Linked DNA regions of Arabidopsis thaliana. The protein of the gene in region 1 interacts with the protein of each later gene in a pairwise test. Each region holds a gene or a part of one and is shown in the gene's direction. Other genes may lie near its edges.

What was found.
Region 2: the proteins of TBL18 (region 1) and NRT1.8 interact in a protein complementation assay, tested with the Arabidopsis thaliana proteins (one large-scale study listed by BioGRID).
Region 3: the proteins of TBL18 (region 1) and HSL2 interact in a protein complementation assay, tested with the Arabidopsis thaliana proteins (one large-scale study listed by BioGRID).

What each region holds. Positions count from the first base shown.
Region 1 is NC_003075.7:12,967,528-12,971,286, forward strand, and holds the start of TBL18 (TRICHOME BIREFRINGENCE-LIKE 18), read left to right. Parts: upstream 1-2,031; 5' UTR 2,032-2,224; exon of another isoform or gene 2,225-2,461; 5' UTR 2,462-2,659; coding exon 2,660-3,179; intron 3,180-3,686; coding exon 3,687-3,759. UniProt on the Arabidopsis thaliana protein: May act as a bridging protein that binds pectin and other cell wall polysaccharides. Probably involved in maintaining esterification of pectins. May be involved in the specific O-acetylation of cell wall polymers.
Region 2 is NC_003075.7:11,518,093-11,521,851, reverse strand, and holds the start of NRT1.8 (NITRATE TRANSPORTER 1.8), read left to right. Parts: upstream 1-2,046; 5' UTR 2,047-2,275; coding exon 2,276-2,393; intron 2,394-2,493; coding exon 2,494-2,711; intron 2,712-2,792; coding exon 2,793-3,346; intron 3,347-3,432; coding exon 3,433-3,759. UniProt on the Arabidopsis thaliana protein: Low-affinity nitrate transporter. Involved in nitrate removal from xylem sap. Not involved in oligopeptides transport.
Region 3 is NC_003076.8:26,290,437-26,294,195, forward strand, and holds the start of HSL2 (HAESA-like 2), read left to right. Parts: upstream 1-1,935; coding exon 1,936-3,759.

The sequences.
Region 1 (3,759 bases):
CAAGTACGTATACTTAACGCTAATAAATAGCAACCGACTTTTGAATTATTTGATTTAACTCTTTAAATTATTTCTTAGAAAGAGTTATGGAAGAATTAAAAGTTTTAAAAACATTTGATGCTAATCTAGTTTTTCTTTGGTGACTTTTTTTCAACCAATTTGAGATGTTTTAAATGGGGATCTGACAAGTAACTATTGTACCAGGAATACGCACCATTTCCTTTTTTTGTGCTTATAAATACATATTTATTTATTTTATTTATATAATAATTTGAAAACTTAGAAATTACACTAATTTATTAATTCTTTACTTACAAACAATTGGTTTTAGTTTTTAAAATTATCCAAGGCTGATTTCACCTAATTAAAATAACCATGACTAGATTTTAACCCGCGGACAACTTATTTTTTAAATTAGTATATATAAAAGTTTGCAAATTAAATCTATTTATTTTTATTTTATAGTTTACAATTGTTATTAAATAACGTCTTACCAAACCCGTCTCGCCAAATCCGCCCCGTAAAAAAAAACCGCGGTACACCGCTAATTTAAATATATAATTAAAAGAAATATTTTACGGGATTGCAATTGTATTTTGGTTTGTCAAACAAATATTTGTTTAAAATAGTTGCCAAAATCTAGTTCAAATTTTGGAGAAAAAAGATTTATTGGATAGATAAAGAATATATTTAGGTGGGTTTTGCTCATTTTAAGGGATTGCAATTATATTTTTGTTTGTCAAACATTTTTTGTTTTAAATAGTTGCTGAATATATTTGGAATATTTTTAGTTTATTAATCAATTTATTGCTGGAAAAAAATCAATAATTAATACTCAATGGCAGCCTAGTAAATAAGTCCCAACTCTAAGATTTATTTCACAAAATGGCTGCAAAAATGTATATATAGATGATTCATTATTTCATTTTATGCGGTAGGAGTAAAAACAACATTAACTAGCAAAAACTATAATACACACACAACAGTAACTACTCATCGAGTATGGCATTCATGGATACGAATCAAATCTCAAATCGTATAAGCCTGGCCATTATTTTATTTTACAATATTTGATAATGTGCTACCTAAATATCAAAATTTTAGAATATTCTGAAATAAAATGTCGAATTTTTGTGATAGCCTTAAATTACTACATGCTCACGTATGTAAATTTTCTATTCTTTCATAGTTAATTTTCTATTAAAATGTACAATTTCCAGTTTGATGGTATGAAGATCAACAAAGTACCATAAAAATGTATAATTTCTATTTCTTCCTAATTAATATTCTTTAAAGTGTAATTTTCCAGTTCATCCTTGTTAATTTTCTTAAATAATAAAATGTAAAACTTACAAATTTCACGGACTTTATTAACAGAAATGTAAATAATTGTAAATAAATGTAAACATACTGTGTCACAAGAAGACATGACAAAAAATAAAAACAGTAGAAATAAACTTTTTTCTGGGTGCGTGTGGTAAAACAAACATGGGGACTGATCCAATGAAGTTTATCGCAATTTCTGGAATTTCAGTCGGTGTATTAATCATCATCGCACTGATAGTGGCTTATGCCTGCTATCGTGCCCGAAAGGAAGGACCAGTCAGAGGCGACGGACGACTCACACCTATTGTAATGATGATATGATATATCACCTATTTTCGATCTTTTTCTAATAATTTATTTTATGATGCAACTTTTTAGATTACTATATACTATAGAAGAGCATATTGTAATTCTATTTTACCTATATAATAATAAATAATATTTCGGCGATTTTGTCATATGCTGGAGTGTTACATTAGATGATGACTAGTAGGGTTTTTTTTTTTATGTGAAAACAACAATCGTTGTGTCATATAACGCGAAGTGACAAACAAACAATTCGAAATATTAGCAATGTTACAAAATTCGAAATATACGCAATGTTATGGTGGTGTTGACCGAAGGGTAGTTTCGTAACTTTACATCATCGCGTGGTCGTATACGCGCCGATGAGATCACAGACGGCATTAATGGGCTCCGGAAGAAGAAACAAATGATTAATTTAAGGAATAAATTACCACTAAATTCGTTTGATTATTTCCGGAAAACAATTAACTAATAAAACTATAACTAACCTTTGTTTAATTTTTTGATTTCGCGTCTTCACTGTTGTGGATTTCTTCTGAATCTTCTGAGCTCGCTTCACCTACAAGAAGACAACAAGGATCATTTTCTCTAGGTTCGTAGATTCTCTTTCTTCTTCTTCTTCGTTTGGATCTGCTTAGTGAAGAAGATAATCTTCTGAAAAATTGTTTGTTTTTTTTCTGAAAATCTGAATACGTAATGATTTGAGCTGAATCTGAGTTAGATTCACATTTATATTCTGGATTTGTGCTATTTGATGATTTATTAGATCGATCATCTTGTTTTCTTCTTTCGCCTTTAAGTATGTTTGCTCATAGTGTTGCTCTTCCAGATTCCAGATCCTGAAGAAGGTGAAATCTTATCTGTGATCCAGTGGAAGATTGAATCAAGTAACAGATTCACTTAGTTCACTTGCGTATTGCATGCCCCTGAAGATAACATTTTGAATAATGTTGATATTGAATTATCACCTATAAGCTCTGGTTCTTGTTGCTTGTATTGGTTCTGGGTATCTACTAGTGAAGAAACCATGGCTTTTGGTTCTCCTAGGAATAATTCTATATTAGCTGCGGCTGGATTTCCTCGGAAAGTGTCTACAGTTGCAATTGCTATTGGTGGTTTGGCATCATTCTTTGTTTTCGGATTGTTGCTTCGTCTTTCGTATCCGAATAGTTCTTCAGTTGGTGGCATATTTTATGGGATAGGGAATCCTGAACAAGTTCATGTCCCTTTATCTTTGAGCAACCATACTGTCAATATCCTTCAGAAGAGTAGTGACATCAATGCGTTTGATAAAAATCTGACTTCTGATTCTAGCTCTGGCTTACCTGTTGTTGTTAGCAAAAGTATACCACCTCCAGATTTCAGTAGTGATAGGAAGTTGGAGACACCTTTGACACAAGAAAAAGAGGATTTGGTTTCTTCGGATATAACTGAAAAGACTGATGTTCAATCAGGTGAACGTGAAACCAATGTTTCCAAGGCTGAAGACACTCCAAGTGCATCATCTCCTCCAGATGATGTCTCTGAAACTGCTTCAGCAGAACCAGGTACTGTTGTTATCTTTTAAACGCTTATTTCCGTAGCTTTTGTCGTATTTGGAACATTTTGAGTTATGGTAGCTTAAATTTCAATAAACAAAGACTAAGCTAGTGTGGGAATGTTATAGAACATTTAGTTTTGCATTTCTATGGAAAGGCGTAAGTTTCTGAGAAGTTTTAAAGAAATTCAGCGGCTAAACTCTTAGCTATAGACCTACTGTAATTATTCTAGCCGAGGACTGAATATAGCAGATTAGAGTAAAAACTTGGTTAGGGAGCAGATAGTGAGTGCTGGGCTTGTAAGGTGGTCTCAGCATTTTGTTTTAGGGGTTAGAGTTTCTAGGCTTTGTGGGCATTTGGTTGAGAGTTCTACCTGTTTTGGTGAATTGGAATAAGAAGAGCAGTTTCATAGATCTGTTCTTGTCAGTTTCCCTTGCTTCTCATGATTCTAGCTGTTCGATGTTTTATATTTCTGTTATGAGTTTGTCGCTTACTCAAATCTTTGATTGCTTGTAGAGTGTGATTTGTATCAAGGTAGTTGGTTTTATGATCCTGGGGGACCTCTCTACACGAACAACTCTTGCCCTGT
Region 2 (3,759 bases), 1.4 Mb from region 1:
GGTGGGCAAAAAGTTTACGAGTCGGATTGGTTGGATCCGTGTTGGGTTATATTACATTATATCATATTCGCATTTTAAAAAAAATTTATTGGTTAGGCGTAAATTAACTTTTGATATATGATATAATCGCATAGTTATTCAAATGGTATAGTCCAAACTTTCCTTCCAATACAGCACAACCATTTACCATGTTCACATACAAGTATACGCATCACATACTTTACGTGATGATTTAGAGATATTTAGATATTAGTCTGATTTTAAGTTCAAAGACACGATAAACCAAATAGTTATATTACATCATTGAGACTTGTAAAGATTTCATGAACTAATTCTAATCATGAGAGTAAATAGACTTTAAATTGAAAAGTACTCTAATGAGAAGAGTAAATAAACTTAAGTGAAATATTTCATATATATACTGTAACTCTAAATCCTCAGGGAATCAGGAATTTATAACTCATATTTGAGTCCTATTAAAATAAGGTGTTGGATTTTGATTATATATTTTTATTTGTTGTTATGATTGAATTTTGATTTATGCAACACAAATATATATATAAAGAGAACGACTTTGTATTGCTTAGTAAATTGTCGTGGACAAATTGGATTTTAATCAGGCGATATTAACACTTCAACTGCCGATCATCCATATCAAAACCTAAATCAAGGTATGTCCGTTCAAAACTACCACTGTTCTACATTTAGTATTTAAACCTAAACATTTTTTTTTTTTAAACCTAAACTTGTTCTTAACCAAGATGCACGTAGTATCTTGTGAATGGTTAATTAACTTAATTTAGTAGGACGTAACAAAGTTATAGGACATTACTAGAAGTCTAGAACATAGTTCTTTCGTGATCATTAAAACTTCGATCCAAATTTTTTTGACACAATGTGTATTAATTTAGATTGTTCGATTCAGATTTAGGTCTAACTTTCTTAGGTAAAAAAGCTGGAATTTGTAAATATCCCCAAGCTTCAATGAATCTAGACATTAATTCGACAGATAAGATTTGCGTAAAATACTATAGAAGATTTAGATGTATTTCATATTTTCACTTATCTAGGTTTCATAATTAACCAATCAGCGAATTGGTATAAATTAAAGTTTGGATTGCCAAATACCAAACATGTTTGTATTTATCCATCCAAATATGAAATCAAATATAATCCTATTTTTGAAAGATAAACAATTCTGTTCACAAAAAAAAATCAGAAAGAAAGATAAAAACATAGTATATGTGAGACACAGAAAAGGATCTAACACAACAAAAAGAAAATTACCAAAACGTATCAAAGATTTAGACTTAAATTAGGGCTTAAACATGGATTAAGAATAGAACCAATTATAATATAAGTTAGGAGTGAGGAAAGTCGTAATCGAATACAGCTACACACGAGCGTAGCGTGCTTGAAAGAGACACCAAATCCTGTTTTAGTGGGGAACTTTCTTACTTTCACTTTTTCCCCTCTTTTTTTTTTCCTATTTAAGAACAATTATTTGGGGTTTTTACTCTTTTTATTTTCCCTCATGTTTTTTGATTTTATCAGTCTCTTCCAGCAGCCCTCCAGGTGTAACTGGTCACACATTCGCTTGGCTTACCTTTAACCAGGTGTTTCTCCTTCTTCATAGATTTTAGGGATGCCAATTTTCAATACTACGTTTTAAGTTCCTATACCGTAATTTATGGTTTTATTCGCATATAACAGTGGCATTTCCGTTTTTTTCCCACAAAGTCAGATTCTCTTCAAATTAAAATTTTTACATAACTACTTTTCGTATTAAATAAATATTTTAGAACGAAAAAGATCATTTAGATTTATCTCTTTTAATTTTTATTCATAAAAACTAGTTAAAAAATTAAAATAGCATATGATTATTATTGAGATAACAAAATTCTGTCGAGAAAAATCCACCGAACATATATTTTAGCAGCCCGTTTCAAAACCTTTACAATTAAATTGATTAAATTAAACACCATAGAAAGAAAGAGACGTCAAAGAAAGGATCTCTTCTGAGTTCTCTGACTCAATTTCTGAGCTCTCTATAAATATAAGCTCTCTTCTTCACACTTTTAATGCAACTCTCAATATCACTATTAAATATCTTTCTCTTTTCACTTCTTCACTTTCCTCGATTCCTGAGTTTTCGATCCTTTTGTTCTCTAACCACCGGTTTCCTCTTTAACCGGTCTCTGGATAATCATCATAATCATTAGGATCATCAAGATAAGGAATCTTTTTGAGTATATCTCTACACCAAATCGAATCTATGGATCAAAAAGTTAGACAGTTTGAGGTTTGCACTCAAGACGGTAGCGTTGATCGTCACGGCAATCCAGCTATCCGAGCTAATACCGGCAAATGGCTCACTGCTATTCTCATTCTAGGTAATGATTCTCTCTCTCTTTCTCTCTATATATACCACTGTTCTTTGTCTTAAAGTGTTGTGTTTTGGATTCTAAAGAAATGGGTTTTTGGTTGATATAGTGAATCAAGGACTAGCTACGCTTGCGTTCTTCGGTGTAGGAGTGAATTTGGTTCTGTTTCTGACTCGAGTGATGGGACAAGACAATGCAGAAGCGGCTAATAATGTTAGTAAATGGACAGGAACTGTCTATATCTTCTCTTTGCTTGGTGCTTTCCTCAGTGACTCTTATTGGGGACGTTACAAGACTTGTGCTATCTTTCAAGCAAGTTTCGTTGCAGTAAGTGTCTTCAACACTGCTCTGTCTTTTTCTAGGGTTTGTTTCTTTAACAATAAGTTAACATGTTTTAATGGATTATAGGGGTTGATGATGTTATCTTTATCTACTGGTGCGTTATTGCTTGAACCAAGTGGTTGTGGAGTTGAAGATTCGCCGTGTAAGCCTCATTCGACGTTTAAGACGGTTCTGTTTTATCTGTCGGTGTATCTAATCGCGTTAGGGTATGGTGGTTATCAGCCGAACATAGCTACTTTTGGAGCTGATCAGTTTGATGCGGAGGATTCCGTTGAAGGACACTCGAAAATCGCGTTTTTCAGTTACTTTTACTTGGCTCTGAATCTTGGATCGCTCTTCTCAAATACTGTCTTGGGTTACTTTGAGGATCAAGGGGAATGGCCGCTTGGATTTTGGGCGTCTGCTGGCTCTGCTTTTGCGGGGTTAGTGCTTTTCTTGATTGGCACGCCAAAGTACCGACACTTTACGCCTAGAGAGAGTCCTTGGTCTAGATTCTGCCAAGTGTTGGTTGCTGCAACAAGAAAGGCTAAGATTGATGTGCACCATGAAGAGTTGAATCTCTATGATTCTGAGACTCAATACACTGGAGATAAGAAGATTCTTCATACCAAAGGCTTCAGGTAAGATAACCAATTAAAAGTTCTGTTATAATCTCAGAAACCATCGTCAAGATCAGTGTTAACTCTCTCTCTATTATTTTCTACAGATTCTTGGATAGAGCTGCTATTGTTACACCTGATGATGAGGCTGAGAAAGTAGAGAGCGGATCGAAATACGATCCATGGAGGCTCTGCTCGGTGACTCAAGTCGAAGAAGTGAAATGTGTATTAAGACTCTTACCAATCTGGCTCTGCACCATCCTCTACTCTGTGGTTTTCACCCAAATGGCTTCACTGTTCGTTGTGCAAGGAGCAGCGATGAAGACAAACATCAAAAACTTCCGGATTCCAGCTTCAAGCATGTCTAGTTTCGACATTCTCAGTGTCGCCTTCTTCATCTTCGCATACAGGCGGTTTCTTGATCCACTCTTTGC
Region 3 (3,759 bases), on another chromosome or scaffold:
TGCGAATATACTAGATTTTGTTTTTTAGTAATTCATATAAATTGGATATATTTGGGATAAAAGTAGCCAATGTTATAGTTTTCTTTTAGGTAATTTGAGTATTTTGGTTATATTTGGGTAAAGAGTAGTAACCAATGTATTTTTGGGTAATCGGATATTTCGATTAGATTTAGTATATATGGTACTCTTTCCGTTTCACAATATAAGTTGTTTTAGCTAAAAGCACGCAGATTAAGAATATTTATTTTTAAAAAGTTTAACCAATCATAAAAGACACTGCATAATAGAAATAATTATAAAACATTAAAATAATATATAATAGAAATTTGAAAACAACTTATATTGTGAAACAAAAAATTTGGTCCAAAATAACTTATATTATGAAACGGAAGAAGTATATTATATTCTCTCATCCATTTTAAAAATAAAATTTGAGGATTTTAAACAAACTTGTTCCCCCTTTTTATGGAGTACTTCTTATAATAGTGGCTAATTATAAGAGTCTAAAAACGAATTTTTATATGAATTTAGAAAAATTAGGATGGGGTTTTTGGGAAAGATAAAATGTTGCCTATAACAGTACATATTTAATCAGACAGAAGTGTCTTCACGGCGACGAAGAGTGTCTTCCGGCAATTGCATACTCCAACGCAAACAAAAAATGAAAATAAAGCAAATGTCATTCCCGTTAAATAATACGTGAATGTCATTCCCGTTGAATGCTAATTAAAGTAGAGAAGCCTCAAAATCCGATGAGTCATACGTGAATGTGGTTCTAGTGTCTCCCCAAATGGCTTCCTTCCATTTAATTCCGAAGTTAACTTTTACACTTGCCATCAAACTTTAGTAATGAAGAAAACATTGATACAACAAAACTGCGAGTGTAAAAAGTCTCATTTCACTGTTAAATTATTAATTTTAAGAGTAGACATTAACTGCGCCTAACTGATGACTAAAGAAGAGTTGATCAAACAAAGTCTACACATTACCTAACATTCTCTGTTCTAACTAAATACATCCATTTAAGAGACACTTACCAACCTCCTACTCAAAGCTACTCTAACTGTTGTTCAATTAACCATCAACATAACTGCAGGAGTAATTGATTAAACAACAATGAACTCTGACTTCATCAAAAACATCGAAAGACTCTGAAGTCAAGCATGTTGTTTTTATATGTCAACCGCAAACCTATGCATTAAACAACCAATAGAAGCCAAAAAAACGTACAGAATCTAGGAGAATGCAACTATGATTATGAAAATTCACGCACACTAATACCACTAGCTTACAATTAGAGAGTGAAACGTTACAATACGTCCACGCAAAATACGTCTTATTATTATGATAACGTACATTAATATTCATGTTTTCTGTTTGTGCTCTGCATTTTGCTTATCTGTGCTAGGTGAAAACAAAAAAAAGAAGAGATTTGGACATTTTAACACACGCTTTGCTCGCACTTCACTTTTTTCACAATCATACTGTTATTTTCCTTCCTCTTATAATGAAAACTTACCGATAAGCAAATTTGTACCAAACGTATGAACGAATGATCTTTCTAGATTAGTCGATTTTACCATACATTAATTAAATTATTAGGTTCATCTACCCAACTACAAAAAAAGGGAGATAACGTTGGCGTTTTCAAAAAAGAGTGAACACTAATAAAAGTTTTCTAGATTCCTTTTCTCAACTTTTCTTTAAGCTAAAAGACTCCAAACAAACACTTAAGAAAGAAACTGTCACTCAAACTTAAACCTACTTCCCATGTGAATCAAAAGAAAGCAAAAAAAACCAGCAAATCCGTCCATCTTTAAATAACAATCTCAAACTCTTTAAACGTTACTCAACTTTTTTCTTCTTTTCAAAAACCCATTCTATGAACACAATCTCACCTCCTTCATCGTGTTTCATACCTCTCTTCCCAACACGATGCTCACCAATACTAATCTCTTCTTCTTTCTCTCTTTACTTCTTCTTTCTTGTTTTCTCCAAGTTTCTTCCAATGGAGACGCTGAGATATTGAGTAGAGTTAAAAAGACCCGACTTTTCGACCCCGATGGAAATTTACAAGATTGGGTCATAACCGGAGATAATCGGAGTCCATGTAATTGGACGGGAATCACATGCCACATCAGAAAAGGTAGCTCCCTCGCCGTCACTACCATTGATCTCTCCGGCTATAATATCTCCGGTGGCTTTCCCTACGGATTCTGTCGTATCCGTACACTCATCAACATCACTCTTTCTCAAAACAATCTCAATGGTACGATTGATTCTGCTCCTCTCTCCCTCTGTTCTAAACTTCAGAATTTGATTCTCAATCAAAACAACTTCTCCGGTAAATTACCGGAATTCTCACCGGAGTTTCGTAAATTACGAGTCCTCGAATTGGAATCAAACCTCTTCACCGGTGAGATTCCTCAAAGTTACGGGAGACTCACTGCTCTGCAAGTTCTGAATCTTAATGGTAACCCGCTCAGTGGAATCGTTCCGGCGTTTTTGGGTTATCTGACTGAGTTAACTCGTCTTGATCTCGCTTACATCAGTTTTGATCCTAGTCCGATTCCATCAACCTTGGGGAACTTGTCGAATCTGACTGATCTTCGGCTAACTCACTCGAACCTCGTCGGAGAAATTCCTGATTCGATCATGAATCTGGTGTTGTTAGAGAATCTTGATTTAGCTATGAATAGTCTCACCGGAGAAATACCTGAGAGTATCGGAAGACTCGAATCGGTTTACCAGATTGAGCTCTACGATAACCGGTTATCTGGAAAATTACCGGAGAGTATCGGAAATTTAACCGAATTGAGGAATTTTGATGTCTCGCAGAATAATCTAACCGGTGAACTACCGGAAAAGATCGCTGCTCTGCAACTTATCTCTTTCAATCTCAATGATAATTTCTTCACCGGAGGATTACCAGATGTCGTAGCTTTGAATCCTAATCTCGTTGAATTCAAAATCTTCAACAACAGTTTCACGGGGACGTTACCAAGGAATCTCGGGAAATTCTCAGAAATCTCTGAATTCGATGTCTCGACGAACAGATTCTCCGGTGAATTGCCGCCGTATTTGTGCTACAGAAGAAAACTTCAGAAGATTATCACCTTCAGCAATCAATTAAGCGGCGAAATTCCGGAATCTTACGGCGATTGTCATTCGCTTAATTACATTCGTATGGCGGATAACAAACTCTCCGGCGAAGTTCCGGCTAGGTTTTGGGAACTTCCTCTTACTCGTCTTGAGCTAGCCAACAACAATCAATTACAAGGTTCGATTCCTCCTTCGATTTCCAAAGCTCGTCATCTATCTCAGCTTGAAATCTCCGCTAACAACTTCTCCGGTGTGATTCCCGTCAAACTTTGTGATCTCCGTGATCTCAGAGTCATCGATCTTAGCCGCAACAGTTTCTTAGGATCAATTCCGTCTTGCATCAACAAATTGAAGAATCTAGAGAGAGTAGAGATGCAGGAGAACATGCTCGACGGCGAGATTCCGAGTTCAGTGAGTTCGTGCACCGAGTTAACCGAATTAAATCTCTCCAACAACCGTTTACGAGGCGGGATACCACCGGAACTCGGTGATTTACCGGTTTTAAACTACCTGGATCTCTCTAACAACCAACTCACCGGTGAGATTCCGGCGGAGCTGTTGAGGCTCAAGCTTAATCAATTCAACGTCTCCGATAACAAACTCTATGGTAAGATTCCTTCTGGATTTCAGCAAGATATTTTTCGACCCAGTTTCTTA